Linked DNA regions of Drosophila melanogaster. The protein of the gene in region 3 interacts with the protein of the main gene of each other region in a pairwise test. Each region holds a gene or a part of one and is shown on either strand. Other genes may lie near its edges.

Region 1 (9,147 bases), 1.1 Mb from region 3:
GAGACCCTTTTTTCTTGCATTTGCCATTTTTCTCGGGCGAAGCGCTTGGCCACCGCCCAGGACTCGCCGCACGTCTTTTGGTCGGCGGGAGAGGATGGTTGCATCCTGCAGCTAGATATACGTGAGCCACATCGCTGCCGTCCCGAGGAAGGTATTGGTGTCAGGCTCTTGAACCTGCACGATCAGTTGGAGAACACAGAGGCCAAATGTCTGGCTATAAATCCCCGAAGGACGGAATACCTGGCCGTGGGCACCAACGATCCCTTTGCCCGGGTGTACGATCGCCGCAAGCTGCCCTCCACCAACGGCAATGGTGAGTACTTGAATTTGTAGGCGCTGCAGCTCATACATATGCATATTGAACTCTTATCCCTTTAAGGTCTCTCTGCCTGCGTGGCGTACTATGCACCCGGACAGATCGTGAAAAACATCAGCCGGAACATTGTCCACGAGCCACGGGGAATCACTTATCTTACGTTCAATGGCAATGGCACAGAGCTTTTGGTCAACATAGGCTGCGAGCACGTCTACCGCTTTGATCTGAATCACGCTGAGCCTCCGGTTTTCTACGATCTGCCCGCCTTCACATCAACACTCGTTCACGAGGAGGAGCCGGTGAAGATGCCACACAGAAGTCGCTCGCTGCCAACCGAAATAGAGGTGTATAAGAAGGAGGGCAATGACTTTCTTGAGAACGGCAAACTTGTAGATGCAATTGATGCTTACTCAGCGGCTTTGGCGAAATATCCACAAGGAGAGGTCCTCTATCTGAACAGAGCGACGGCTCTAATGCGACGCGGCTGGTTTGGTGATATATATGCGGCACTTAGGGACTGCCACGAGGCCCTGCGTCTGGATCCCAGTTATGTGAAGGCCCACTTTCGGCTGGCCAGGGCATTGCTTGAGCTGCATCGACCCCAGGATGCGGATCAGTGCTTGCAGGCACTAATTCAGCGTTTCCCCGACTTCGCCAACAATCACGGCGTGCTCATGCTGAACAAGGACATCAAGGAGAATCGACGACAGTCAAAGAGCCCCGAGGCACCCGAGCTACAGCCGGTGGAAGTGGATGATGGCTTCCGCTACCTGCGTCTGAAGAACGCCGAATATGATCTCCGTTCCACGGCACGCGACTATATGCAACGCTATGTGGGCCACTGCAACGTCACGACGGACATAAAGGAGGCCAACTATTTGGGCAGCCAGGGCGAGTTCATAGCCGCTGGTTCGGATGACGGCAACATGTACATTTGGGAGGGAGACACGGGCAAGATACGCGCCGTTTATCGGGCGGACAGTGCCATCGTGAATTGCGTGCAGCCGCATCCGAGCATCTGCATGCTGGCCACCAGTGGCATTGACCATAACATTAAGATCTGGTCGCCGTGCGCCGCCAGCGCCGAGGAGCGACCCAATCTCGTGGCGGATGTGACGCGTTTCGTTGAGGATAACCAGGAGAAGATGCGCCTCGATCCATTCGAACTGCACACGCGCAATGCGTACTGTTTCAATAATTAGGAACTGTGGCTTATTGTGCATCTTGATCTATATTGGCTGCATGCATGTGCAACAGCAAGCGAGATCCAATCGGCAATATATCAAATATTAGTGTAATTTAAGCTAAGCGAACATATTTTTGTTAATTTGTAAACGAATTACTCTGTATACAAAGTACGAAGCTTATGAAGGATGTTATGAAAGACTATTAAAATAAATGCAGACATGCAAATCGACCGGTTTTCGAATCGTAATTTAATGAAAAGCTCAGGATGATTTGCATTTGTTTTTTTTTTTTTTTTGTTTTAATTATTCTGTTTATTTACCGTAGTTTCTTTAAATCTATGCTCACATGTATACATATACATACATATAAATATTTTACTTTATGTAATAATATTCAAGTATAGTTTTTACTCAAGTTGTATTTTTCATTCTAACGTATTTCCTTACTCTTTTGTTTAAACTGTGTAGAACTGCTAGCTTCGCACTGAAACACCTTTTCTTCGTTTTGTTATTAATACAATATATGTATGTATCTCGCGTATGATCAGAAGTTGGGGAAAAACGCGCTTGTCCACACACAATTAATTGAAGTACAATTTTGCATTTGTTTCTATTTTATTGTTTAAATATAGATGAAAATGAGTTTGTCTGTCTGGAGGCGTGGCATGTCTGGGGTTGTAGTTAGTGGCTTAAAAACTAACCGAATGTGTTGTAATATTCGCGCCCGTCGTGGCTTTTTCCATCTACTTGCACATTTCACACTATATTTATAATTATCTTTATATATTTTAAATGGATCTTCTTTAATTACTTTACAAAAGTGCGTTTTTTGTTTTGTTTCGTTTCGTTATGTTTTGTTTTGCTTTAGGGGCTGCTGTCCATATCGTTTTATTTATACAGAGTGGTTTGTATTGTTAATAATATATTACAAACTATTTTATGCAGAAATTAAACAAAAAGAATTCAAATCGAGTTCTGTGGGGTTGTCGGTAAGTGTTGTTTTTTTTTTTTTTGCAATTTGGTTGATCAGATGTGAATGAGCGGGTGTGGGAGTGGGCGGGCGGATTTGGCCTCCACCTCTACTTTACAGGCTAATCATTTCAATCTGTCCAGCTTTAGCTTTGTGTGGTCATTTGTTGGCGTTCTTCATCCTCCTCGTGCACTCTTATATGAATTTGTATACCAAATGTCGTTCTCGTAATGTTGTTTCTTTTGCCGCTGGTTGGAATTTTGTTTTCTTGCGTACATATAAGTTTCTTATAGTTGGTTGTTGTTATTTATTATGTATTTTTTGTTTCGATTATTGTTTAATACCATCAACCTTCCCGCTTTATCGAACTGGGTGTCTCTGCGAGGCCTTTCACTTTGAGGCGATCGGCGGTCTTAAGAAATGCTGGCAATTGTTCCTGGGACACGTTCACCTCACCGGCGTACATGAACTCCAGTATAGCCTGTAGGTGAATGTAGGAGACATCTTTCAGGATAATGATCGGATGCTTCGATGGGTTCTCCTGCGGGTGCATACATTACATTATCAAACGATTGCTTAGTTATTACCGCGTGAAAAACTCACCTCCAGTAGCGCTTTAAAGTAGGGACTGCAAGCGGAAAGCACCATTTTGTGGGCTTTGCAGGTTTGGCCCTCGCAGGCGAGTGTTACCTGTGAACAATAAGCATTGGGAAATCAGTAAGATCCGCCAGGCATTTTCACCGCAACAAATTGAACAAAAACGCAGAGCGAAGAACGAACACAGGTAAAAGAAAAACGAATTGAAAATAGCGTGAGGGCCAGGTATCTGCTACTCAGACCAACTGAGCTCAGCCGGTGACTGACCCTCCACAAGGGGCGGCCGCGAGCCAATCGGGCCAAGAGTAGCATAATAAACCTCAGCGCGCCCCTGGGACTGGTTAACTACAGTCGAACTTCTATGGCTTGATTTTGACTGAATTTATAAGTAACTTCAAAATATATTGACATCTAATATCATCATTCTAACTAATAGTTCGACTGCAATAGTTTTTCCATCGCCGCTTCTGGAAAGTTTCATTTGGTTACTCACATCTGTGAAGCTCTTCTCGTCGCGCAGGTGACGGAACGAGGTCACCATATTCGTTTGAAAATCGTTCCATTTTAGAAAGAACTGTTGATCCGACGACATCATGAAGAAGCTTTTGTTTTGTGGGGGCGTCGCGCTCGCTGAACAGAATGCTGGGAGGGGGGTGGGCAGGAGGCTTAATTTGGACTAGTGACCGAAAGGTTCACCGTTAGATGGTCTTAATTCGCAGCGGACCGCTTAATCCGTGGGTTTTCGCTTGGGTTTTCTTTGACGCACTCTGCAAGAGAAGTAAACAGACAGCATTAGTGAACGAACGGTAACGGCAAGGCAGAGTAAGACAAACAAACAACAGCTTGGCGAAATTAGCAGTGAACGTTACGAGAGCATTGCAAAACAGCACGTCTCTTGGCCAAAAGTATTCTGCAAATATAAATGTGCTGCGGCGCATGTGCAGCGTTTGTGCAGTGGGAAATGGGAGTTCGGAATGCACAGCGTTGTTACTCTGTACATGTGTGAGTGAGCTGGAAAATGTCAAAGTGCTGAGACAGCGCTAAATAAAAACAGCAAACAGCTGCCAGCAAAGGTTAAGCAAAGAGGCAAAAATATCAAATCGTCGCTGGCTCGCTCTGTTGAATGCCTTTCACTTTTCAAGGCAATTTCTGCATTTTCAGTCGTACACACATGTGTACTTATTGCTTATTTGAATTCGTATGCGGCACAGTGGCTTAGAACGCGGAATTAGTCTGTTGCACGCGATGCACGCTGCAGCTGCCGATGGCAATGTATTTTTAGGCGCACTCCAGTTAAATAGCATTCATTCCGTGATTTTTGACCAAAAAAGAACCAAGATGGCGGCACCATTCGCACTTCCATTCAGTGACTTTGTCTTAATTTCACTCCCACTCCATCCCACTGTGCGGCCAACATGTGTTTTTCTTCTTGAGGAAATAGCGTTGTTGTTGATGCGACTCTCATATGCGCTACACTGGCAGCCGGCTGTATGTTTCTGCGTGGGCGGGGGAGAGCAGGGCATATAGTTTGCCGCCAGAGCTTAAACTTTAGTCTCACGCTCTCTGTGTCCCTCGTTCTCTTTCGCTAAGCGCTCTCAACTTTCAACTGCCGTTATGATTTCGCAATTACATTACAACAACAACAACTTAAAAGGCAGAGCAGACATCGCTGGAAATTCAGCTGCATAAGTGTAAGTGTGTGGCTGTGTGCGAGTGTGGGTAGGCGGCGGCAACTATCTCGCTTGCTCTTGCGCCCGGGGTTATCGGTAGCTTCTTCTAGGCTGAGTGCATTTCGTTGAATCATGGATGTTGAAAGTTGTCTAATTTCCGAACTATTGATTTTTCCCCTTCCCCGTCAAGAAACTGCATTGTTGCTTCTTGAAGACCAGTTTTGGTAACATCAGGAGAATGGAAAGGAGCGAGTGAGTCGGTGAGTAAGTGAGTGAGCGATGCGAGCGACAAAATCAACAACAACAACAACAACAACGGTTCAAAACGAGTTCCAACGAAAGTTGCAACACTCTCAACAATTTGAGCAGCTCCGTTTGTTGTTATTGCATTACTCAATCGGGAAGAACTCTACACTCGACGGAATAGTGTGCTCGTCTGAGATTTATTCTATTTCAATTCTTTTCTTTTGTTTTTGGTCAGACAATGGCGTCGGCAAACGTTCGTGGAAAGCCGCAGGAACCACCAAAATGCCTGGCGTCACATTAACCGAGCCGCCTTTGTTTATGCAAATATTATTGTAATATTTGGTTAAAATTAGGTCGCGCTTCGCGTTACTTTTTATTTCATATACACGCAGCAGCAGCACGCATACAGTCACGTCACGCACACATACAATCGCCGTTCACATACACTTGTCTTTTTTCCACACACTTTCCTAATCATTTTATTTGTTGTGCGCTGCTGCTTTTTACTCGGCGTGTACTCTGTACTTTTACCAATGCGTATATCGCCTGCCGACCGCCGCAGGAGCACGCTAATTGCGCCGTGGACACGCTTTTTCTATATCTTTTTGTTTCAATTTTAATACATACACGCTTTTTTTTTGTCCCGCACTTAACTCACCTCTGCTTTCTCGCTAACGCTGCTTTCTTTTTTCTCTTTCACCGATTTCGATTTTCGATACACTCGTGATTGTTCGATATGAATCGGCCTAATTTCGATGCGTTTTGTTTTTTTCCAGTTAATGAACACAAATTAATGTACTGAAATATCTTTTATTCGATTTATAACACAAAAAGCATTGCTTGAATTGATGCTTGTTATTTTGTACGCCAAATAATATAACAATCGTTCAGATCTATCGGCTAGCAGCCCTGACTATGTAAATGGTTTCGTAGCAAACGGCTTTAGTCTGACACTGTGAGAATTCTTGTGGGCATTGCAAAATGTTTAAAACCACACGTTTATATAAAATTATAAATAAAAATGTGGTTATCACATGTTCGAGGCGGCAGAATACCGCCGCTGAAGTGGGACAGAGCTTTCGGCAGAGGGCGTGGCTGCTCGCCAGAGAGCGGTACAAGGATCATGAGCACGTTCATTACAGCTCTGTTCTGGAGACCAAAATAAAACCCTCTTTCTCGATTCCTGAGACACAACAGCATTTGCCCGACGACTGGATGGACGACTACGAGTTCTATCAGGGCGCCCAGGAGGGAGGGAATAAGCAGGGCACACCGGATCCTTCGTTACCCGCCTCAAAGGTTCCATGCAACGGCTGCGGCGCAGACCTTCATTGCACGAATGCCTCCCTGCCAGGCTATATACCAAGTGAAATATTCAGGGATAGGACGCAGCAGGAACTGCAAACGATCACCTGCAAGCGTTGTCACTTTCTGAACCACTACAACATCGCATTGGATGTGGTGGTGGCCCCATCGACCTATGTGGACACCATATCCCGCATTCAAGACAAATTTGCACTGGCTATTGTTCTGGTGGACCTTCTCGATTTTCCCTGCTCCATTTGGCCGGGCATGCAAAACATATTGGGCGCAAAGCGACCCGTCTTCCTGGTGGGCAACAAGGTCGATCTGCTGCCGCGCGACTCCAACATCTATCTTCAGCATATTAAGGATTCTCTGCAGCGCGAGTTCATCAAGCATGGCGGTGGAAATGGTCTAAATATCAAGAATGTCAGTTTGATATCCGCCAAAACGGGCTATGGCATCGAGGAGCTAATAACGCAGCTGCACAAAACGTGGGCCTACAAAGGCGATGTCTATCTGGTGGGCTGCACCAATGTGGGCAAGAGCTCGCTGTTCAACATTCTGCTTAACTCGGACTACTGCCGGCCGGAGGCCAGTGACCTGGTGCGCAAGGCCACCACCTGTCCGTGGCCGGGCACCACACTCAAACTGCTGCGGTTTCCAATCTTGCGTCCATCGAACGATCGAGTCTATCAGCGCTTTAAGAGATTGGTTTCGGAGCGCAGCGAGAAGGCGGAAATGGAAAAGGAGCGTCGCGCAGTGGCAAGGGAAACGGGTTCAGCGGCAGCTGCTCAACCAGTGGCTCCGGTTGGACGCACCTTCGATCGACGCGAAAATCTCCATGATGCCTTTGCCATGGCCGGTGGCTCGCGACCGATTACAACGCTAAACGATCGGGGCAAGGAGTACAAGGAAGCGCGTTGGGTCTACGACACACCGGGTGTGATGCAACCCGACCAAATATCTCCCCTGCTCACCGCCGAGGAGCTGGTAAAGCTGCAGCCCGCCACCATGATCCGACCGCGCGCCTTTCGGCTGCGGCCCCAGATGAGCATACTACTGGGCGGTTTGGCCAGATTGGATCTGCTGGAAATAACAAGCCCAAGGAAACACTTTGACTGGCTGAAGGTGTTTGTATTTGCCTCAGAGCATCTTCCCATCATGATAGCAGATACACAGGAGGCGGAAAGCGTGTACAAAAGATACGTGGGTTCGCCCTTTCTGGGTGTTCCCTTCGCTAGCGAGAACTTGGAGGCCCGCCTGCGACGCTGGCCGGGATTGCAATGCAAGGATGGGGATATTGTGCTGGCAAGTGAAGGAAGGAACGAGGAAACGAGGCTTAACTGTGATATTACGCTCAGCTCTGCGGGCTGGATGGGAATCCTGCTGCCGGGCCACTCGGAGTGTCGTCTACGGGCCTGGACACCAAAGGCGGCAGGGATTTACAGACGTGAACCGGCTTTAATACCTTTAGCCGATCGATTGGTTGGCAAGCACATAAGGTATTCCCTGGCCTACAACACCGCCAAGCCCTTTGTTTACAAAAAATAAAAAACAAATTGTTTATAAATTGTAAATAAATACAATTGTTTAAATTACTTAATAATATATTCTACCAAACTAAAGCAATTTGCACCGCTTTAGTTATTTTCAGCATACCCCGATTTTTATAATAAAGTTTGTGCTATTATATATTATATTTATGAACTTATAAATTTAAATATAGTTTCAAAACCCGTAACGGCGCCAAAAAGCAGACCCTTGCTTAACGTGCTTTGCAACACTGGCTACTCGCTACTCTTTTTTAAAGCGAGTTGGCAGCGCAGCGTACATAATCGGTGCTGCCGTTTTTTAATAAAAGATAAAAGCTGTTTATGGCTACATGGATTTTGGATATCATGAACATAGCACCTTTAGATACAATAAGCTTAACTTAACAGTATAGTAAAGAGTGTAAAAATATAACTCAAATAAAGTGCGTTTGGATATTTAAGAAAATGCTGACTAATTAAAAAACAGACGTTTATGTTCTTATCTTCCCGCCATGCGCAGCACTATCCTGCGACTAAGCCAGATCTGACGGGAATAAAGCTGAATCGGCAGCACTGCCGCAAGTATCCACTTTTTCACGGGCAACAAATTGACAAAGAAATTGTAAGATAATTTCCTGTGGCGATTGCTGCTTGCGCAAAGCCACTTGCCTTGAAAGCGGGCTTAAACAGAGTCCGGGCCAGAAGTTAAATATTGCAGAGAGCTTGCATACCGTGTAATTTGCGAACTGCGACGCACCAAACTTTTTTTTTTGTATGCCGTGAGCTGAGCGGAGGTGGAGATCGGGAGTTCGGAATCCGGAATCGGGAATTGGGCATTGGATATCGGGACGGGAGCCACACGAAAGAGTCGGCGGCAATGGAGCAGAACTCGAACAGCAGCGTTGCGGATACGTTTGCGGAGGCACCAGCGACGGACGCGGATTACGGCACTGAGAACTGTTCCGGATCCGGAATGTCGGTCGGCGACACCGTGAGCGCCAACCACGAGTTCCAGACCATGAAACCGGGTCCCGGTGTGGTGCACAAGGTGATGCCGGTGGCAAATAGCGCCAGCAGTGCTACCGCAACCAACGGACGCACGCGCTCCGAGATGCCGCACAGCGAGCTGGTGAAGATGCTGTACTACCTGGAGGGCGAGCTGCAGGCACGGGATGTCTGCATAGCCGCCCTGAGGAACGAGCGGGTAAAGCAGCTCATTGCACAGCTGCGCACCAAGCGACTGCAGCCGAACGATCCGTATGCGGCCATATTCCGGGACAAGATCGCACTCAATGGCAATCTGATATCAAGGGAATCGTCTACG
Region 2 (7,695 bases), on a different chromosome or scaffold from region 3:
CATCCCTGTGTTTTGGAACAGCCGACTCAATATGTTTCCAGACTCCGATTTGATTGATTTTTCCTCCAACATGTAGGCTTTTATGAATGATTTGAATACGTTCCCGAAAAGCGGTTGGGTTGGGTTCAAGGAGTGCGGAAAGAGCAGCAGGATGGTTTTAATCGACTTCAGTTCTAATTGAATCTTCAAGAGCTCTTCCGGTTGATTCAGTTTGTCAAAATCAGTTTCGTATAGGGGTCGCAACACATCCAAATAATCCAGAATCTGACTTGTCTTATTCACAAACGCTCGATTCTCCTTGCAGAGTAGCATCACCAGATCTAAAGTGATTGATAAACTCTCAAGTACATTCACTCCTTCCACGTTTTTCTGTTTGATGAACATGTAAAGCGAATATAGGATGGACTCGATAGTGGGAAAATGCACCAGCAGATGGTTAAGTAAATCGAACTTAAATTTACGCAGCGAGTTGCCGGCTTTTTTTGATTGCTCTCGGACAGCAATGGCATTCATATAGTTGCTGTACTGTTTCATCATGGAAAGCAGCAGACGCAGTACAGCCAATCTCAAATTGAAGTCTGGATCGCTCAGGTACTTCTTACCCGTAATGTGAAGCAAAGCTTCGATGGGCAAACACAGCTCCTTGATCCAAAATGAGAAATCCGTTAGGGTCATCTTATCGAATGCTGCTGATAGAGCACTGGGCGGGACTGCATTAATGATTTGGGCGAGAAACGCCACAGCTATGGGCAAATCTTTCGGCTTGGTTTTGACCGGACTGAGCAGAGAGGAACAATTCCTCACTGTATTGCGTCCCAAGTCTGGACAAGCAGTTAGTGTTTGAATAACCAAATCCACTTTGCGCGGATTATCGTAGGGCTTGAATAGAGAGCCAAGTAATCTGCCCTGCAGTTTGTTTTGCTTTTGGCGGTAGTGCGTCATCGCATCAAAGCAGATGCCGTGCTTGCGGGAAGTCAAAAGGACTAGCAGGAGTTCGTGAACGGCAGCCGATACCGCTTCCGCCTCCTGTGGGTTTGGAGGTATCTTAGAAACATGTTTCGATTTAGCAAACATCACCTTGAGTCCCATGGGTCCCTCCCAATCGTAGAGGCGACGCAGATTTTTGCAGCACTCTAAATCGAAAACCAGAACCTTTTTGGTCTTCTGTATTTCGGGGTTCTCCAGCACATATTGCCGTAGTGCGTTAAGCACCACGCAGACGGTTACGTGGTCATCGTAAACCAATCCCTTGGCCAGCACACCAATTAGTTGCCCTCGATCCAGGATGTTCCGGATAAGTAGAGTATTGCCCTCGACCAGGAAGGCCAAAATAAAGAGAATAAACGCTTTGCGCACTGTATCCTCGCATTGGTATTCACTTTTTTCATGGGACAGCAATTTCTGCGTCACAGTCACGTTGGAAAGCACATCATACGAATTCAGAACTTGGCGGGCCAATTGAGGCTCCACGCACACAATAGCGGTGAGCAGTTTTAGGGCATTACGCCGATGGCCTAGCTGCATTGATTTCATTTGATTTTCGAGCACTCCTCCGTGAACCTTGAGAAAATATCTACACCCGTGGACAGCCGACTCCATGTGGCTCTTCTGGTTGGTAAGTATTTCCATCAAAACTCGGTGCAAAGCCTCTGTGAGGTAGTCCACGTGAAATAAATTAGTCTTATCGATCCTTTCGAATGCTTCTGCTAACTCCAAGGGCTTTCCACGCTTTTCTATGTACTTAGCCGCAAGCTTAGGACGCGTGGTTGAGCACATGTGCAGGAAGTGTCGCAGTTCTGGAATTGGGATTCGTGAGTTAGCGATCTTTTATTGAACGTATTAACCCACCTGTTATGAAGTTATTGCCGCGAAGCTTGGTTCGAAAGTGCATCATCTTAAAGTCGTTGGGAAAGTGTATGCGGGATTCTTCGGGATCAATCCCGGAATCGCGACTTATTTCATCCTCAGCCATCTCCACTTCCACCTGTTGTTCTACACTTGTGTCGGATGTCTTTGTCTTTTTAGACTTCTTCTTTGATGGAGTGGAGTCAGCAGGATCGGTTTCAGTGCTTTCCAGCGTGGATTCATCGAATGATTCCTTAGTTTTATCCTTCTTTTTCTTTTTCTTCGGTGTGTCGGACTCCTTGGCCAGTTTTTTGGGCACCTCCACTTCACCTTCATCCTCTTGCTCAGCAGTTGTCTCCTCGTGCCTTCTCTTTCTTCGATTGGGTTGAATGGCCATTTTGCTTTAATAATAATATTATAAATTATATTTGCCTATTTACAGCATAAATCGTTTAAAATTTAAGTTAAACACAAAAACAGCCGCACACACGTGCTGGCAGAGAATGGTATGACCCTTTTTAAAATACCGAAAAATACCGCCCTTGTTTCAGTGTTGTATAGGGCGACACTTGGCGCGCTAAAATATAAACTGGCGAAACAGGAAAAAAAACAGAACAGCAACTTATTCAAAGAGATTAAAGTTATGATTTAATTTACCAACAATTTTATACTCTCCAACAATAAACAACGTATTTTACTACAATACTAACTACAAAGGGTGCACAACTTTGAAAAAACCACATCTCGGCACGGAATGACTCATAATCCAATCTGCCATTTGGCAAATTTACAGTTTTCCCTGGACGTGAACGTTTTTTCTGTTCCTTTAACCACGTCTAGTCATCCTCGAGGGCCGCATTGGTGGCTCCTCCAGATCCATATCCAGATCCTGCAGGAGCCGTGCTAGTCACCGATCCAGAAATCGGGAATTCTGGCAGAGTGGAGCGTTGTTTGGCTGGAGCCGGCGGAACCGCGGGCAAATCGACTGATTTACTTTTGCCTGCAAGTACACAACTATTATTAGTCGCTGTTATTGCCTTCTGAAGATAGCTGCAAATCACTTACCAAAACAACAACCCATTATGGTATACTCTTTACTGATTCTCGGGACGAGTGGGCTAATTTGCTGAAAGTTCTTTGAGCACTAAATCGGGCAAATCAAATCGGTGGCCAATTGACTGGGTGCGTATGTGTGCACCTGAGGCGTACAAACGACTCATGGCTAATTGATAAGCCCTGCTGTTACTTTTATTCTCTTTTTGTTTAAAATGTAAAGTGGGTTATTTATGACACCATGGGTAGGTCTGCTATCAACAGTGTAGTTCCCCATCGGCCGTATTAGCATCGTGCAAAGAACCGTAGAACTGTGATAAAAGCGGACAATGCCGGTCGGATATAACCGCAACGAAGCGACCAACAAACCAATTGCGATAAGCTCTTATCAGGGGAAAACGTTTTCAATGCTCTCTAATTGGCGCTAAATATTCAATTGTCGTTATGATATCGTTTATCGAAAAGGCTATCGATTGAAAATTCCGCTCTTGTGGGCCAGATTTCAAAAACGCTTAGAAGCATTTGACAATTCAAGCAATTTACGTAGTAATTGCGAACATTTTTAACAAATTAGTAGTTAACATACATTTTACAAAAATATATATTTGCAGGATTTATAATCTCTTTAGAATTATTATTTCTGTATAAAATCCCAGAATTTCATTCCTCTCTAACGTTTTTCTTTGTGATAACAGTTTTGATTGTTAATCAAATTTTTATAGCTGGAATTAAAGTTCAGCAAACATTTTCGTTTGTTTACCAGTGGCCAGTGAGACCGTTCGCTGTGGCGCCTAAAAAACCAACATTTCACTGTTCCTCAAAGTGCGGGGGGGTGGTGCGTTCATTATCAGCCGGAACGTAAACAGCGTCGCTGCTTTTCACGCTTTCCGATAAAAATGTTTAAATCACACTGTGTTAATTAGAGCCCAAATCAAAATCAATGCGCCCGTGGACGCGAACGACTCGAGATCGTGTGCGCGTGAATGCGGATCGAGTAGTTGGTAGCTAGTTTATCAAATTCGAACCCTTGATATAATAAAAATAAAGGTGCGCGAGAATACGTGAATTGCGATTTTTGGCCCGTGAACGAATCACGAGCAAAGCGGATAAACAAAAGCCATAAAAAACAGATTCGCACGAGAATCATCGCAAAAGTCTGTGCGCATAAATTACGCTCCCCAATTGGAATTGGAAAAGTCTGGTTTTCGGCGAGCATCCGCATCCGCGATGGACGACGAGTTTAAGCTGTGCTGGAAGAACTTCCAGGACAACATAGCCAGCGGCTTCCAGAATTTGTACGACCGCGGCGACCTGGTGGACGTGACCCTCGCCTGCGATGGAAAGCTCCTCCATGCCCACAAGATAGTGCTGGCTATCTGCAGCCCCTACTTCCAGGAGATATTCACTACCAATCCCTGCAAGCATCCCATCAGTGAGTACACCGATTAGGCAGCACAAGATTGCGGCCCCATCGCCGGCGTCCCCGGTTTAAATGCTAAGTTATGCAGCGTGGCTTACATTGTCAGCGCGGCATTTATATGTGTATTTTGATACTGGGCACGGAAGTGGTCTTCCAGAAATTGGTCAAGTTTAATGTTCCGAGCTTTCGTTGCCATGCATATGGATGATCCTAATGGAACATTGAGTGCGTAACTGAAGGATTCGGGTTTCTTACAAATTGCTTGGCTCTTGGCATTGCAAATACATTGTAGACATATTTTCTTGGAATTTTAATAAGCCGGAAAAGAGTCTGACTATTCGCTGGGCTATTTCATACCCTTCACATACATACATAGTCTGTATAATGCCAGGGAAGAGTGACTGCTGGTTACTTGGTCAAGCATATTCCCCCAGAAATCGGTCAGTTTATCACTGGGACAGCGGTGTCAGTTTATCGAGGAGCCCGCCCGTCAGCCTGTCTGTTCATCACTCTTGTCAAACGCTTAGATATAAATCAACCTTTGTGTTAAATTCCATGACACATTCGGTGGTTATCAGCCCAGCTCCACCGCCAGTTCGATTCCGAGTTCCAGACGAGCGTCCCAGCACGACTACGTCTGTCTTTACAGTATCGCTACCATAAATCCAACTATACCCGCCCTATTAACTTTACACTTTATTTCATAAGCCTAACTTGCCTTTTTTTTAGCATACAAAGTAATCAATCGAATAATATTGTTAGTCGTTTGATGGATCGCCCATTAAAATTAAGTAGTGCAGCGATATTAGGAAGATTATAAATCGTTTATGCAAATGCATTAAGGTTTATCCAGCCTACAGTTATCTAAAGACTTTGTAATGAACTGTAATCATTTGATAACCGATTTGATTTACTAATCCAATTCAGGGTAATATAATCCAATTCGTAATATCTGTCCGTTTCTGATTCATGTTCCAGTTAGTGAAGTTTGACTGTAGAGTCGTAAATCTAAAGACAAACAGCAGCAACCCACTAAGAATCGAGGTCTGGTGATAATCCTCCGGTGAGCCGGAGTGCCGCCGCGTTGTCTATGCCTGTGTGGTAGCTGCCGGAGTCCTCCGCCTCCGGAGGCACACCGGGATTGTTTACCCACGCCACGCACGGAGTATCCACCGGCGGAGGGAGTATCGTGATAAGGTCCATGGCAAGAGAGCGCAGAGTCGGAGCCGCAGCCCACTTCGATCGGATCGGGGAGATTGGGTGCGTTGCTGACCTCATCAAATGTACTTCAAATGGACTCTAGAACGGTGGTGTACTACTATTTATGTACGCTATATGGTGTATGGATATGATATCGCCGCGGCCCCTCCTGGTCGGTACGATTCCGATTTCGTTCGCAGTCGTGTTGAACACGGCTGCCTGCTGCACGGTGGCTTTATCTGATCAGGCGGCCATAAAAAATAAGGTTTTATCTTTTCAAGTAGCTGCAGGAAGGTGCTACCTACCCACAAACGCTGCTACAAGAGGTATTTCCAAAGATAAAGAATATTAATATACCCTATAAATAACGGCGAACCCAAGCGGGGGCAAGCTATTAAATGTAGACCAGCCCAGCCAACAACAGTCATCGAGGTGCTAACAAGCCAAATGGCTATGTGTTTGTTCCGTGTGTAACACGCAGAAACAACAACAATAGTCGAAATATTTTTTATCTTTTTATCGCGTTTAACAATCATTTATTGCCCAACTGAGTAACTGAGTGCCCGCCCGCCCACTCCTTCACCCTTACAGCCACTCGAAGAATTTAGTTTAGTCGAGATATTGATTAGAGAGCCTCGCAACATATATACGTGTTTCCGCTGCTCCGGACGTGTAAATCAATCCACACTGTGCCGTTCCAAGTGGTTATATCTGGCCAACAGTCACAGTCCCCAATACAATGCTAATCCTCCAAAATTATCTATTTATTATTGGCATAAACAAGACGGACATAGCTCAAAGAAGCTGGGGTCGGAAAAATCGAATTTTTGAAATTTGAAAGCTGGAATCGTTTGCCCATTTTTTGCCCATGTTTGCCCACCAATTAGTTTTTTTTGCCCACGTCCAGTTTTTGAGATATGAATTTTCGAAAAAGTTCGAAAATTTTCGAAAATCAAAAATTTCGCTTTTTTCAAAATTTTTTTTTTTTAAATCGCAATAACATCGTTTGCCCACGTTTGCCCACCCTTTAGAATTTTGAAAAAATGTATACTTTAGAAAATATAAGGCTTTTAAGTTTACCTCGGTCTAATCAGAGAGTAAATCGTTTGCCCATCTCTTAAAACCAAATATTATCAACAAAAAACGTTTGCCCAACAATTATTATTAGTTTTTATCGTTTGCCCACCCTTTAAAAAACCTTTAACAAAAATTTTTTTTCGATTGCCCACATTTAAAATACAACCAATTTCCTTAGCCAACCTCTTTAAAATAAAAATTTCCAATAAAAAAAGTTTGCCCACCATTTAAAACTAAATAATTTCGATTGCCCACCTTTTAAAACTAAATAATTTCGTTTGCCCATCCTTTAAAATTCATTTTTAACGTTTGCCCACCCTTTAAAAATAAATTATTTCGTTTGCCCACCCTTTAAAATTTGTTTTTTTCGTTTGCCCACCTCTTAAAAATGGTTTTTTCGATTTTTCACCTATTAAAAATAAATTTGTACATATGTATGTAATAATTGTAAGATGTGGCGTCAAAAGCACAGTTACTTACAAAAGAACAGTTATTTACATATTTACATACATTTTCAATATATCCATAGTGTTAATCATTCATGAATTGTAACATCAATTTTTCTTAATCATTGTTTCATTTCATGGAAAATATTTTATATTGCAATATAATATATATGCAAAAAAATGTATGTATGTTTATCAACACTCTCCAAGCTCAAGAAAATTCTGGAATAAAATATTTTCGAAATTATTTAGTTTTAAGAGTGGGCAAACGAAAAAAACAAATTTTAAAGGGTGGGCAAACGAAATAATTTATTTTTAAAGGGTGGGCAAACGTTAAAAATGAATTTTAAAGGATGGGCAAACGAAATTATTTAGTTTTAAAAGGTGGGCAATCGAAATTATTTAGTTTTAAGAGTGGGCAAACGAAAAAAACAAATTTTAAAGGGTGGGCAAACGAAATAATTTATTTTTAAAGGGTGGGCAAACGTTAAAAATGAATTTTAAAGGATGGGCAAACGAAATTATTTAGTTTTAAAAGGTGGGCAATCGAAATTATTTAGTTTTAAGAGTGGGCAAACGAAAAAAACAAATTTTAAAGGGTGGGCAAACGAAATAATTTATTTTTAAAGGGTGGGCAAACGTTAAAAATGAATT
Region 3 (7,849 bases):
GCGATAGTATTGCCCTCGAGTGTGCTTGTGGCACTTTGATTGTAATTAATGGGCTGCAATATTTATCCAATGCGAGCGATCAGGGAAGACACTTGGTCTGCAATCTCCATGATCCCAAGATAATAATAATAATGGCCTGTCACTCAGAAAGCAACTGCAGCAGCCGAGATGTTCGCCTCTTCATTTTCAGCCAGCAGCAGACCAACAATCGTCTTTGTTGGTGGCATTGGACAATGGAGGACAATTTCTCGGCCACTTGTCAAAATAATTTGCGCCTGTCTTTGGGCCTCAAGATGCGGATACCTGCCGTGCAATTGTTGACTTAGTTGCACTCCCGAGTACGTGAAATGTGTGAGAAATTCTTGGACAAACTCGAGGAAACCAGCATCTACGGATCCGGAAAATAGAAGCCCGAGAAGGGTTAGACTAATATTGGCCGAACATGCGATTAATGCGATTATATGGCTGTATACCCGTTTTCCATTTGCCCCAAAACTGCTGCGACAAGTGATGGCGCAGTAAATTCCCAAAAAATTATCACCTGTGCACCCAAAGGGAAGCAATAGTTCAATAACCCAACAAAGAGCCACCAGAAGAATGACGAGAAATTGTGGCAGCAGCAGCGCACAAAGAGCTGGGAATATCCCGATCCTATAGACGAAGGACTATGCACCATGGGCGAAGGACAAACCAAAACGAATGCCCAAATCGATTGCTGCTCCTGTTGCAAGAAGAGGCGGGGGCCACTGCCACAGCCGCATCCACATGCAACAGGATGCTCGCACACGCACAAATGCGGGATGAAATCCCCGAATGCCTGAAAATCCCTGGGAAAAGTTAACTTTTTGATTCGATCGAGAGAATAATAAGGGGCGCAGACGTAGAATCACACGATAAAGTCACACGGACGGAGTAAAAAGGAAAATCGGTGAAAAAGGGAACATGTTGCAAGTCAGGATCGCAGTTGCAATCGCAGCTGATCGTGTGTTCAGCAGGTTGCATCAATTGGGGGAAAGGACCTGAGGGCTAATGATAGTGTCGAACAAAGGACTAAATTGGCTCTGCAATTCCATGGGAATCCCTTTCTTTGCCATCTTATATACGTAATTCTTTATGCGCAGAGCTGGTTCATATCTTTACTAGATCGTTAGATCAGACAAGCCTCTATGAAGTGCTAACTTTTCAAAAAGCTTTGCTTCGCAAAATTCTAATGTCAGTAAAGCTGACTAGATACTTTGCATAGAAAAGCTTACATATATACATAAGAGAAGCAAATTCATCGGAATTTGTTTATTGCCAAAATTTTAGTAACAGAAAGAAATCTCTTCTGCTCTATTATTGTGCAAAGCTTAATGAATAAACAATTTATAAAAGCTTTCTCTTGCAGAATGTTATAATACTAATCGCACTAGACTTTCGTAAACTATGTTAAATTTATTCAAGGTTATGGTAACAATGGTTTAGTGATCTTATCACGCACTTAATATTGAATAAAAACAGGAAATTATCAGTAATTCATATACCAGAAAAAGAAACATGTAAGCAGTTATATATTTTAAAAAGTTGGCAATAATGGATCGATTAGCTTTATACGAAATCGTATAACCACTCTTTAAATAAAGGTAAGTTTTAAGAAGTTATCGAAAAACTAAATGCTATATGTAATGTTTCCAGATCTTAAACGTCATTACCAAGACCACAACAAGTCTTATAGCTCCCGATCTTTCCAGAAAGCTCTTCTGCGTGGCTGGTGAATTCTCCCGGTTAGATTCTTTCGCCCAGTAAGCTCCGCGCATTCGTGTTCTATTCCCCAACTAAGAACCACGTGTCTGGCGATTCTTTAAATCACCTCAAAGCGACAAAACACGACGTCAAGACAGCTTTTGACTTTTTGCGCAAAAATGGCGATACGCGATGTGCCAAAAATAAGCAAAAGCCCGCTCACCTATACTTGCGACAAAGCAGCGCACACACACTTGGCGAAAAGCTTTCGTTTTGCTCTTTTTGTTGTGTGCAAAAATGCTCTCTGATTGGTCGGCTTGCGAATTTCGGGGGAATTCGCGAGTCGCAAAAGCGAATCGAAAGCTTGCACAATTTGCCGAGCGGCAACCGAAGACCCTCGGCTCCACTTCGGTCACCATCGGTTCCAAAGAGCGAGGGAGCGAGAGCATCTGACTGTTTACGCGAAATTGTTATTGTTTGCAACTAGTTTTTGCGTTGTTTTTTTACGCTTTTTGTTGTTTTTTGCCGGCATTTTGCTCTTGAATTTTTGTTTTCGCTGCGAAATTCAAGTTCAAGTTTAGGGACGGCGGGAATGTTGTTATTGTTACTCAATTCTGGCGTGCTTTCGCACCAAAGTGTGTGTGTAAACGTATCTATGTGAGTGGGATTTGGGTTTGGGCTGTGGTTCTGTTGACGCAACTTGTTGCTTTCACGTCTGGGGTAAAATATTTAAAGGGCTTCCTTTACCTTTAAATCCATCAGATACTTCCACCACTTATCTATCTGAGAGATAGAAATAGATAGATAGATAGCTCATTTTTAAGATTCTGACTTCATAATATCTTTTTTTTTGCATTTACTAAATGGTTCTACACTTTAAATAGAACAACAATTCTGCGCTCATTGGTTAGCAAGGCTTTTCACTGTAATTGTCATTGAGCGATCCGTCCTTCCGCATTTTCACGTAGCCGCTTTTTGACCCTGGCCCACCGAATTTGTTTTCGTGGTAAACAACAAACTCAACTCGAGAACCAAAACCATACACGCACGCACACACACACACATACCAATATAGATTACAAAAATTTGCGCCGCATTTTGCTGTAAACAAAAATTGTGTAATAATCAAGAGTGACCCTGAAAAGCGCTTCACAGATAAACAAGCGGCCAACTGGCGGGTTATTTTTTTATTTGTCGATTGTTGTTTTCGACTCATGACTGTGTTGATATATTTGCAAAATTCTTACGTGGGCCCAAGGGCCGATGATAATTCTATGCTCGACGAAAGAGCTTTCCCCCCTCCAGAGGCCCAAATTTATATTTATTTTTTTTTCGCTAGTTTGGGAACTTTGCTTTTTTGCTCAATTTGTGAGTCAGTGGCATTATGTACTAGTATATTATGTACAGTCGAAGCTTTTTTTCTACACACACGCCATTTTTGCGGAGCTCTCTCTCTGCAGTCGAGAATCGGCGAAAGAATTAAAAAACAGATTCAGTCGGCTATACAGTCCCCACTCAGAAACAGAGAAACCGAGAAGCCCAGTTCCACTCGCAGTCCCTTTGGTAAACGCCTGAACTCAAGGTCAGTGCTCGTACCGCCGCAGAAGTTTGGCGGTCTGTCCAGAACTTACAGCAGAGCGACACATGTAAATCGCCGCTGCCAACCCTGCCCCGCCCTTCGAGATACACGAACTAACAGATACACAGATACACGGTTATATGTGCCCATCCGAATGCTTGTGAATACTGAAACACTTCCGAGAATCAGTTGTATTGCCCTTTTTTCATACTATTTTTTTCGTTGTTTAGTAACTTTGCGTCATTTTGCCATTCGAAGGCAAAGAGTTCACTTCGATCCAAGCCAAAAAAAAAACCAAAGAAAACTGCAGTGAAATATAGTGAAAATCGAAGCAAACACACAATAATGCCGGTTAAAATGTTGGCTGACTTAGGACCAGTGAAAACGTGGCCAGACTATGTGCGAAAATGTGAATCGAATTATGGTTAGAATCGGCGTTCTGATCAGCCAGCAGATACATTTGTAAAACGTGTTCTACGCACTCAACAAACCCCGAAAAACGTCGCTGGATCTTGCAGATACTATATGTACATGGAGTGAATAAAACAACAGCGGAAAAACAAGGTAAGTACAACACAGACGTATTCTATGGAGGGCGGTTTCGCCCCCACCTTCCCTTGCCATGTGACCATGGCCGTATAAATTCGAACAAAAATTCACAACGCTCGACTTGAAATTTCCCTCAAATTGCTAAAAATAAAATAACGCATTTGTGCGTGCGTTTGTGTGCGAGCGTGTTTTTGGTGAAAACATCGTGGAAAATGCACCCCATGCGCCGCTCGAAAAATGCTAGCCTGTACTTAACGGGGGCGTGGTCGTCGGCTTTCCATTTCCCGAATTTCCACATGTTCATTGAGCGGCAAACTGCAACTGCAACCGCCACACTCGAGTGGCGCTGGCGGCACAAATGGCATGGCTCGCTATTTATAGCCAACGCATTCGTATCTGCGCGCTTCATGGAGAGCATATGTACTTTTGTATCTATATCTATGCATATGCATATCTACGGCCGGATCTGCAACGACTTTGTCATATCTACATATACATATAAATAAATATGTACATATGTACGTGAAGGGACTGTCGCCCGGGAAACGCGATTTGAGTTACATACAAACGATCATTGCAAACATCAGTTTTATATCTGACGCCATACGCCCCATAGAAATAAAGTCTTTAGCACACAGAAAAAATTTAATTTACGCACTGTTTTTATGTGTCAACAACTCAATTTTGACTTTTCTCACAAGCAAAACTAAAGAAAACATATATTCTTAGAGAATTATGGGGTATTTAATATATATAATATATATGTAATTCGTAAATTACACTAAAAGGTTTGTCAATAAACTTTTCTCTCACTGTAAAGATTATATCTTTGTATCTGCGCCAGCGAAAACGATCACAAAATGGCCGACCCATGCAAAGTTGCAGTTGCACTGGTAGCCCCCCATCGCCACTTCCCCCACACACTTTGCACACATGCACAGATGTATCTGTATCTTGTTTGCCTTCTCCCGCTCTTCACCCAGCTCCCCCTGTGCCGCTCTTCCCCTCTTTTCCTGTTTCGCCTTCTTTCTGTTTGCTTTCGCCTAATTTTTCGTGCCTTTTTTACACAATTCTCGTTTAAATGTTGCCTTTTGCTTTGCTATCTGTCGGCCCTGTAAATGTATCTGTATCTGTGTGTTGTATGCTATGCTCTCGTATCTGTGAGTGCGTTGCAAAAGTGCAATGACCCATTCGTAGTCCGCCCCCCACCCTCCCCCCGACCATAACCCCGCCAGCGGACCCACCAACACCACCATCGCTCTACGAAGTCGCGGTCTACGTGCCACTTTCCTTAGTTGCAGCGAATGACGCGCGCGATAAATTTCCAGCGTTTTCGTTTCTCCGCTGCTTCGTATTTGTCTAATTTTCCCTCTCTCCGTTGAATTTTTTCGTGGTCTTCTTGTTGCATTTTTTTTTATTAATTTCCCCGGGCTGCAGTTTTTGTTTGTTTTTCGACTGTTGCTCTACCCACACACAGGAAAGTACACTCGAAAAAATGTAAATTTTGAAATAACTCTTTTTCTGGAAGCTGAAACATAAACTTACGATTAAAAATACAACTTTCCGAAGATATATTTTAAAAACCCTACTTTTCTCTGAGTGTAGTGTGTATCTTCTAGATAGTATTCGTATTTTTGCCCTTCCGCCGCGTGAGTTTTGTGTAAACACTGGGTGGAAAGGGGAGAGATATCTCAAAATTTTCGCCTCCATTAGCACACGAGTGCGAGCGGCGATCTTTATGGCAGGTCCTGCCGATCCTGTCGCTGAACCAAACTCTGCAGGCTGCCCATTGTCCATCGTAGGCGGCGGCTCCTGTTTTTTTCTTTGAGCCACGCTAATTGCCATTTGTGTTGGAGAGAATTTTCACGTGCCGCTGCTACTTCAAAGATGCTCTAAGAGGCGACACTTCAGCAACTGAAAAAGTCTCAAGAATCTAAGCATCTCGTTCGAAAGATGCCCAGGTAAAAGCAAAAGATACGAGGGCTAAAGGTAAAGGGTTGGCCTGGGAAAAGCCGGAAAAACGCAACCTCGATGCGTTTGTGCGTGTGTGTTCTTTTTTTCGCATTCATTTTTTACTTTGCATGACAAATGCTGCTATCAAGTCCAGACATTGATTGAAACCCAAAGCAAGGCTTTTCCTGGAAAATCCGCTTCTTCCTTTTTTCGCATGCAAATATTTTTCACGATAGTCGCTCAATGGTAATGACCAAGAAGCAAAGGGTTAGGCATCGTAAAACGCTGGTCCACATTTCCTTCGAACTATTTTGGCACATTTTTGCGAAAAGCCATAAACCCATAAATCTCAGACGAAACCCTTTCGCTAACGCCATAAAAATCTTCGAGCAGGTCAAAGGTTTCGAATCCACTGGTTTTTATTGCCATATGCTGACCAGCCAAACAAAGAGCTGATAATACTAATCGCGAAAATGCGTAGATGGAAAAACATTTGTCGTGCAGTTTGCAAACACAAATACGAAATGCAAATTCAGATTCAAATTCATATTTATGCTGAGAGTGCAAACTCAGAGGTGATAAGAAGCACTTTAGAACAATGCCATTTTGAGCAGATGACTGCAAATTAGTGCTGCTCGATGAACAAAGAATTACTTGATTGTTAAATCATGTCAGGGCCTTTCTTTTTTGCTAGGATCCACACATGTCCAACGAGCAGGTAGTCAACAGGATACAAGGATACTAGCAGTTCATTAAGAGTCCTTCGCTTCATTGAGCGAATGTCTTGCGGTTGGATTATGTGCGGATTTCTCCCTGCTAATCCCCCATAATAAGCGGTATTGGCTTTGAGCTGGGAAAACGTCTTTATCTCCGGTATTAGCCACATTCTCAGCAGTTAGTCAAAAAGTCAGCAAAGTCAACACTGACCAGAGGATAATCCATTTAAGGAAATTCTCTGTGATCGACACATGTTGAGTTTCGTGGAGTTTCCTCGAACTAACTAAGCATCTTTATAGGTTTTTAATTTATTAATTAAGCTAACAAATAAATAAATCATCAAAATGTAACTTAAGGTCATTAAAATCAAAAACAACTCTTTTACGTAATAATTTAAGAACCTGCAAAACTAAACGATTTCAAAGTGTAGGTTTATTATATTGTTGATTTTTGCCATTTAGTATAGCTACTATTTTATTTTCTTTATTTTTCACTTATATTTTTCTTATAAAGATGCAATATTTCGTTAGTCCGGCATATTACAGCCTCTTGGAATTCATATTTTACACTTTCACTGGGACATTGACAGGCGCTGGGGGTAATGATGATAAGATTACAAGTGTGGAAAGGGGTCGGGGCTCATATATGGAAGCATTGTAGTTAAAAAGAGTAAAGCCCCGGGGCTCTTGTCCATAAATGCTCGAGTCCAGATTATGGAGTCCGAGTTGCGGCAACTTTTCCGCTTTTTTATGCCCGTACTTACACACACATTTCTTGCACTATCAGCTTTGAGCCGAATTCCGCGGGGGCGGGGGGAGGTGAATGCACTTGCGAACTAGTTTTTCGGACTCTCGGGTGAAGATAGTGTTGGCCGATCTCGCGGAGCTGCCAAAAAAAAAAAAACAAAAAAAAAAACAAAGAATGCATTCGAAAACACGGGTGGACGGAAAATGGCCCCGTGAAATGCGGTTGACCTTAATTTCCAAACATGATTAATGGGTTTGGCAACCCAAAGTGAAGGTGGGCGGGACGAGGAGGCGCTTGATACACAGAGGAAACGACGATGAAAAACCTAATGATCAACAATTAAAAAATGTAAGTTGAGCTGTGGCCAGAAATGTGTGGGGTACAGCTGGTACAGATGACTATTGCAAATAGGGAAATGTTCTTTTTGTGAACTTGATTTTTATGAAAAATTAAAAAAAAAAACTTAATTTTGTAATTAATTTTTTTACAATGCAGTATTTTGTATTCGATTCTCATTTGAACTCACTGTTATCGCAAGTTTTATAATGTTAAAAAGGGCTGCAGAGCTTTTGTTCTTTAGAA
Region 4 (7,542 bases), 6.8 Mb from region 3:
CCAAATATTTATTGGCCACGATCGGTGTTTACAAACAAAACACGCGCCAGATGAAACAATGGCCATATATTAACCCCCACCGCTGTCGATCGAATCAGTCGGATCAGTTGGCTCCATAGAATGCCATACTTATGGGCAGTCTAGTTGGCTTTTCGGCTTTTAATGGGAAATAACGAAGCAATTGTTGGAGGCGATTATCGAAATTATACCGAATAGAGGAGCTCACTGGCCGCGCACAGTGAAGTCCAGAATGTGAGTAGTTGATACCGAATGCCTTCCAATTGATGGACCTCCGATATTAGCCAGCTAACATGTCCAGCTGCAGACAGTTCAATCCGTTCTACATTGGACCCTATCCGGAGCGTGCGTGCGGCGATTGTCCGTATGGCGAGTACTCGGGCTTCACCAGATGCGGATGGAGTGGCGGTAACGGGCCCTTTGGCACCACCTTCTGTGACTCCCGCTATGGCGGAGGAGGAGGAGGCGGCCAAGGCGGTGGAGGAGGGAGAGGTGGATGTGGAGGCAGAGGCAGAGGTGGTTGTGCGCCATCTTGTGGTCCTCGTGGCGGATCGTGGTCCTGTGGTCCCCGCCCGTATTCCCCGTGCTATCAATTTCCGTACGGAGCGGACAGCTGCATGATGTGCTCCAGTGGATTTGGCTGCTGTGGCCAATCCTGTCGCGCATCCTGCTACTCCTGCTGCTGAGCATGTACGTCTCGTGGACTCTGGACTTCACTGTTTGCGGTTAATTGGTTTCTTGAGTTATTTCTTTCTTTTTCTTTTTTTTGAGCAAAATTGATTGTAAAGCAAGAACAATTATGGTTAGCCCTTTGGGTTTATTATTATGGGCTTGGTCTTAAAATAACCAGATGCTTTACGCTCCAATCGCTAGCGAAAATCCCCTGTAATGGAATGCCCACACATGACTGCCTCTTGGTTATGGAGAACAAAGTTGTCGCCCGCGATAAATGTATGTACATCCCATACATCAAACGAGGCCACTGCGGGTGTGGAAATCCGGGCCAGAATCCGGTGTGGAGAGGAGTAGGGAGGAGAGGAGTGGAAAGGAGGTCGGCGCCGCTAAATGCGATTACAGCATAAACGATTAATTTTATTGCAGTTAGCCGAGCCGGGACGCTTGTTCCATAAACTAATTAAAGCCCAGTGGAAAGTGGACAGTGGATACATTCGCCGCTGACTTCAAAGAAAGGGTTAATTGTGCGCCTTGTGCGGAATTGGTCCCCCTTTTTCATTCCGCTCTCTTGGTTTTCCATTCTTCCTTTGTCTTTTCCGCAGACAACTGGGCAGTTTTCTTCGTTTTCTTTGTTTTCTAGGCCGAAATTACTCCGTGGCTAGATTTGGTGGGCACCACGTTCTCGTTCTGCTCCTCGACGCTACTATGGCCATTGTTGTGGCGGCTGTCATGTTGTGGGTGGCCGCACTCAGCTCTGTTTGTTTGTTTGTTTTTTTCTTTTTTTTTCCATGCTGCTCTGCGTGTTTGTCGCTTTGCTCTTTTTTCCCCTCTGCCTTCTTTTTCGTGTCACGCCTCATTTAGCTTTTCACAACATTTCCAAATTTCCACCCACCCGGTCGACACGTCGCATCGCAGCGCACGTAGTGTCGGAAATATCTGGGGATGTGGAGCAGTGGTGCCTAGTCCTCTGCACTCTCGGCTCTTAGCAGCACACATCAAAATTAACCGAAATAACCAGTGGGATGCGTGTATGCAGCTCTGTATCTGTGAACTAGATCGAGTCGCTTCGTCTTCAGATTGGAATGCCCCTCGTAATGAGCCACAATATGTTCGAGTTAATTGCATCGGATCGAAGTTGCCGCGGGGGAAATATCAACAGGCAGGCAATAGAGTCACGGTAGGCTAGGCAATTTTCCATATATAACGAATATTTGATCGTAATGGATATAAATGGATATAATAATGAGTTAAAGAAAGGCACCCCTGTGCGCAAGCTTTTGAGAATAGCTACCACTTAACAATTTCTTAGCTTACAATACAAGCCAGTAGTTAACTCAACTTGAATGCCATATTTTTCTGGAGTGATTCTATTTATGTAGGGGTATATGTAGCAACCACTTGCACTACACTTCAACACCTGATTTATGCATTTAATCGTAAAATTTAAAGATCGTCATAATGCCAATGAGTCGTAAAAACCAGCCAATTAAAGCCACTTAAATTTGGCAAATGGCAAGCGCACTTTTCCAAATGCATGGCTTTGATTTAATACCTGTGATAAAAGCAATGCGCTTAATGTTGGATCGTGGGATTATCTAGTGATTGTTCCGATTGCAGATAGTATTCGTGTATAGATGAGGGGCTCGAAAGTGAAACTCGCTGATATCGCAAGAGCATTCGATCCATTTTACTTGCCGACTTGTAGGTGGTTCGGAATGCCGCTTGGCATTCGGGTTTGAGCTTCGTTTTGAACTTCGGCTTGGCGCACCTGCCACGAGTGTTCCCCCTCTCATTCTCGCTCCCACTCCCGCACTCGCTCGCAGCCCCCTCCCTGGTGGACTCTCTCCTTCGCACCTTCGCGCGCTTGTTGGTGGGCCGGGCGAGCAGCCGCCGTTTTTCAAATGCTAAAATTGGCGATTAGTCAAAATGATGTCACCGAGTTATTTTGATTGTTTTTTTTCTTTCATTATTTCTATGTATTTATTTCGCTTGACTTTGGCATTTTGGCGACACGCTGACCATAAATTCCGTATTATTGTTTTTCCTGCTATTCGATATCACCGATTGCCAAAGGTGGGCTAAGATACAAAATGCTCTAATCTAAACACCAAGTTGCAGTGTGTGTGTGTGTGACTTTTCATTCGCACGACGCTTAATTATTCGCTGAGCTAATCATTTCACCGACTGCCATATGGCGGTATGTGATCTAATCTCAATGAGCAAAAGGTCTAGTTATTAAGGCATGCGGCTCAGTTTGATATGGAATTTTTCAACTATGCGAACTTGGATGTCAACCAGACGCAATAGTTAAGGAAATTCATTAAAACTTCAAACATTTCAGTTCCTTAAACTTATCTTGTATGAAGTATTATAGAGGAGATATCAATATACCCGTTAAGCTTTTTAATATAATTTACACAATTTCATAATTTCGTGAACGAGCGAACATGGGGCGTGGCGTGAACCACTAGACTTTCCAACGGAATGCAAATAGTTTAACTATGGTTTCCCACATAGCAAAAACAACCAAATCCGAACTTTCCTCCTAGCTGCCCGCAAACATATTTAGTTGTAAACTAAATTCCAGGCGCAACCACAAACAGGCTTGGTTCAAAGTGTGGAGGGGAGGGGGGAGTGTTTTGGGAGTGGGCGCAGGGGGGCAGACACTTTTTATGAATGAACACTGTGCGCTGCGTCGCCAACGCGTCACTCATCCGAGTTTTCCTATCGCGGAAATCTACTACGCATTTCAGTGGGTAAGTGAGGGGGGTGGAAGGGCAATCTTAGCAACATTTTATTGGTATTGTTTATGCCCGGGAATTTGGTAATATAATCCGCACATTATTTGTTGTTTACCTTTTGTAATTAGCAACCTTTTTTAATACGTCACTTTTTGTTGGGCTGCGCGGAGTTGCTGCTTCTTCTTGCTGCTCTTTCTCCTCCTTCTCCTGTTTCTCTGCACTTATCGCGTTTTATTTTCACCTGCTGTTTACACACAATAAACGATGAACGGTAAACGGAGTTGCCAAACTCGCGTTAGCGAACGAGAGAGCAAGATGCAGCGCCGAGATAGAGAGCGAAGATGCTGCGCCCTTTTGGCCTTTGGTAAAAAATATGGTAACAGAAAAACTTCTTTTTTTCGGGCTACGCTTATGGGCTCAAAACACATACACACCGACGGCAAAAACGCACACACACAAGCGAGCTCGCAGGAATTTTGAGCCTGGCTTTAAACCGCAATGCTATGCAAAACTTTTTTCTGGCTTGCCAACGGTAAATACGCAGCGCGATTTGCGATTAGCTCCGTGCGAATATCTTATCAACGGATTTTGTTTACCCAAAAACCACTTCCAACATTGCGCCGCGACACTGCTTCGACACCCACAAGCCAGCAACAACAAAATCGTTGGACAGTGTTACCAGACGACGAAGGGCTCCCAATTGAATTCGTACTAAAAAATGACACAGGTCCAACGAGCTTCTAATTTGAAATTACAGTCTTGGCACACAGATCAGAAATTGATACAGGCAATAAGCTGATTGGATCTATAATGTTAATTTCGTCAAAAATATCAAAATAGTTCATATTACGTGATATATATAGAAAATTTTAGGTGGCAGTAAAAACTGCTTTACCAAGGTGGCAACGGTAACTGGTGTGATTTTTTGCTTAATATGAAGGGCATGTTAGGTTTGTAACTTCGCTAAGTAAAACAGGATGTAAAAATAGCCTAAATTTACAAATTCTATAAGTTTGATTATACTAAATTAAATTTATTTTAAAGACGAGAGCTGTGCAGCAAACTACATCTAGATGACAGGAAAATCCATTTAAAGCATAACATATAATTTCACAGCTCTACTTGTGCTTTTAACTGCATGTAATACAGGCGTAAGTTCTACTCTGCCTTTTTATGTGCTATGGATTCCGAATCCGCCTTAGTCTGGCGTTCCTTGCGAGCTCGCTCCTTGAGCTGCGCTGTTTTTAGAGTCACCATCAGCTGCGTGGAGTTGTAGAGCCAAGTGCCCTGCAAATAAGCAAAGATAAATACACACTTCATGCAGTGGAAACACTATAACTTACAATCAAAAGCATGCAATTAAGCAAAATAGGTATTGAGAAAACTGTCGAGATAAACAGGCCGTTGCTATCGAAGTATTGTTGTCTGGAAAAGGAACTCCAGTTGTTAGCAGCGAACTCATTGATGCTTTCGGTGAAGTAGACTGCCAGCACTGAGGAAGATGAAGCACATGCAAAAATCAGAGTCATTTATCGGGTAAGTCAAGGAAGCCGCCAAGTCCACGTACACAGTACTAGGAAGAGGAAAACCTGGAAGTTGGAGCTGTTCCGGCTGAGCAGCGCAGTGGTGGTGGTTAAGATATGCGCCAAAATAAGGCCAATAAGCCAGGGATCCTTCCAATCGATCTGCAAAAATAGTGACAACTTGCCGGATTCTTGATTTTTGATTGTATATAGGCGAGTATCTTACGCTCAGCAGAAATGTCCAATAGCCATTGATCTCGTTGACCTCAATTTGCCCTGGGTGCATCGTACAGATTTTTGTGAATATAAATGTTTCCTGTATATATTTTGCGATATATTCGAAAGCCGAGTCAAAACAAACATAAATAGCCATTCGCAGCGAACAGCTGTCATTTTTCATGGCAACGCCATTTTGGGAGGCCTATAGACGTTCAGGCTTCCTCAATTTTGACTGGATCTGGTAGCGCTGTTTGTAAGACCTAACTTACTATTTTATGGGCTAAATATAACAACATAAATCAAAATACTATTATTTCGTTTAGTATGTATTACTCACCATATAAATGCAATTACAAATTTTGTGCCACCTCATTCTCACCCACCCCGACTTGTCGTGCAGAGTCGCCCTGCCCGTCATTCAGTCTGAACGTGTCGATAACGCTTTCACTGACTCAGTAGACAACATTAACAAATCCGAAAAATATCACAAAGAATTCGTTTTAAAACAGTCAAAATTGTAGTTTTTAGGGCGAATCAAATCTATTCGGGTTATTAAGTCGAACGGGCGACGTGTGAGCAAGCAATCGAAGCTAAAGCCGAGCAGGGTAATCCGAAAAAAGGGGCGCCTTAGATGTGGCACGGGCCACCGACCCTACCGTGCACCACACTCGTCTAGGACTCTGTTCTAAAGCGCTTGTGGCGGGAGTTTCTGGCCAGGATCGGGCAGGGATCGAGGCGCACTCGAGACCCGTTGAAAGGTCGCAGTCAAATCGTAACGACGACACGTAACGGAGCGCGGTTCAAGGACACGCGGCTCAGACTCCTCGCTCAGAGTCGCAGGCAACGAAAAAGCCGCTGTGTTCGGGCGCTAGGCAAGCCCACGCCTCCGCCCATCGGCAACTGGAAGTTCCAGTCGGCCCTGTGGTCCGCAAGCCTTTGTGCCACTCACGTCCACGCCCACGCCAAGCGATTGAAACGCGAAATGGCCGTTAAGCAGAATAACAGCGAGGCGGGTGATAATGCCTCGGATAATGCCGGAGGAGCTGGCAACGGCATTCCGCCCAACGCCAAACCCATGTCCGCGAACGGAATGGCGAATGCCGAAGAGAACGTATTGCCAAAGGGCATGGACACGGGTTCGCCCGCTGGCGAGAGCCTGAACTCCAACCGATCGGGCAAGCGGGATATTAAGGCCCTGCTGGCATACCTCCAAAGCATCGATATGCCGGAGCAAGGCCACAATGTGATGGCCATCTGCGAGAGGGTTATCGTGGACTTGGCCCGTCTGCAAATTCCACGAGGCGCATCCTGTCCACGCCTAAAGGAAGACGTCTGCCAGGTCGGTGCCTTTCTGGCTACGCGCAACGAGAAGTTCCACCAAATGTTCTACCTGCGTGTCGTCTACGAGCTGATCACCAAGTCGCCATTCGAGCCACCACCCTCGTGTGCCGTGGCCATTGTGTTCCAGCTGTTCGACTCCACGCAGATCCTGGAGGCTGTACACTCGCTGCTGGAACAGAATGTGCAGGACTCGAGCATTAAGAAGACGGTGAACCTGCTCTGTGATTGGATCACGTACTGCACCTTTTGCAGCACTCTCAATCTTTGGGTGCTGGCGCTGCTCAAGGGGCTAAGGGATCAGGGCAAAATGGCGCTGCTCGACGAGATTGCAATGGACAACATCGAGAAGCTGTTCCACGTGATGATCTTTCCGGCGCTGAGGCAAAAGGCCGCACCGGTTGTGTTTCACATGCTGTCAACGATTAATCAGACCCCCGAGGTTTTTCACAAGGTAAACACTTCACTCAAACATTAGCTTCAACATAATTATTGACATTTGGTTGGTTACCCTATTAGATCTTGCCAAGGATCCCACGAGTCCTGCAGTATGTGAAGAATCAGTCGACCACCATGGACGAGATTGGCCTGGAAACCAAGAAATGTCTGCAGCAACTGGTCGACCTAACCAGCGCCCTAATGCTACGTTTCTATGATCAGGATGAGCTCTATGTCGCAACCAAGAAAGCCCTGCAGACCTATGAGCCCTCTCCGAATTGCGTGGCTCTGGCAAAGGCAATGCATGAGAATGCCCAGCCGTGGGGTCGGCGGAATGCGAGGGTTGGACTCGTTAACCTGGGGAATACCTGCTACATGAATAGCGTACTTCAGGCGCTAGCCATGACCAGCGAGTAAGTAAAGATCAAATGAAGAAACCCCACTTCTAATTTCCCCAAAGTAGAAGCGCAAAATAATATCTTTGCCTCATATTTATGATTAAAACTCGGTTCTATATTTGCATTGCCTTGCCAGCACCTTTTGTTTAAGAGCTCACTGTTTATAAATCTGTTTTAGGTGTCAATTTCCGA

What was found.
Region 1: the proteins of rib (region 3) and lolal interact in a two-hybrid assay, tested with the Drosophila melanogaster proteins (one large-scale study listed by BioGRID).
Region 2: the proteins of rib (region 3) and CG34376 interact in a two-hybrid assay, tested with the Drosophila melanogaster proteins (one large-scale study listed by BioGRID).
Region 4: the proteins of rib (region 3) and Dyb interact in a two-hybrid assay, tested with the Drosophila melanogaster proteins (one large-scale study listed by BioGRID).

What each region holds. Positions count from the first base shown.
Region 1 is NT_033778.4:18,152,329-18,161,475, forward strand, and holds lolal (lola like), read right to left. Parts: upstream 5,691-9,147; 5' UTR 5,614-5,690; exon of another isoform or gene 5,432-5,613; intron 4,565-5,431; exon of another isoform or gene 4,419-4,564; intron 4,052-4,418; exon of another isoform or gene 3,838-4,051; 5' UTR 3,666-3,837; coding exon 3,564-3,665; intron 3,164-3,563; coding exon 3,077-3,163; intron 3,015-3,076; coding exon 2,820-3,014; 3' UTR 1,767-2,819; downstream 1-1,766. Other genes in the region: adp (adipose), read left to right, coding at 1-313, 380-1,518; CG10914 (uncharacterized protein), read left to right, coding at 5,968-7,842; Naus (nausicaa), read left to right, coding at 8,701-9,147. UniProt on the Drosophila melanogaster protein: Required, together with Trl, for maintaining the repressed state of target genes including homeotic genes Scr and Ubx. May also be involved in the activation of homeotic genes. Binds to a DNA Polycomb response element (PRE) at the bithorax complex.
Region 2 is NT_033777.3:22,444,291-22,451,985, forward strand, and holds the start of CG34376 (uncharacterized protein), read left to right. Parts: upstream 1-3,808; 5' UTR 3,809-4,125; coding exon 4,126-4,330; intron 4,331-7,695. Other genes in the region: CG12499 (uncharacterized protein), read right to left, coding at 1-1,796, 1,849-2,242; CG34288 (uncharacterized protein), read right to left, coding at 2,682-2,845, 2,911-2,926.
Region 3 is NT_033778.4:19,266,922-19,274,770, forward strand, and holds the start of rib (ribbon), read left to right. Parts: upstream 1-3,156; 5' UTR 3,157-3,865; intron 3,866-7,849.
Region 4 is NT_033778.4:12,433,898-12,441,439, reverse strand, and holds the start of Dyb (dystrobrevin), read right to left. Parts: upstream 4,096-7,542; 5' UTR 4,051-4,095; coding exon of another isoform or gene 4,031-4,050; 5' UTR 3,550-4,030; intron 808-3,549; exon of another isoform or gene 705-807; coding exon of another isoform or gene 312-704; exon of another isoform or gene 303-311; intron 253-302; coding exon of another isoform or gene 251-252; exon of another isoform or gene 120-250; intron 1-119. Other genes in the region: CG30334 (uncharacterized protein), read left to right, coding at 312-704; Tmem18 (transmembrane protein 18), read right to left, coding at 4,593-4,721, 4,778-4,926, 5,002-5,119, 5,184-5,243; DUBAI (deubiquitinating apoptotic inhibitor), read left to right, coding at 6,159-6,968, 7,034-7,365.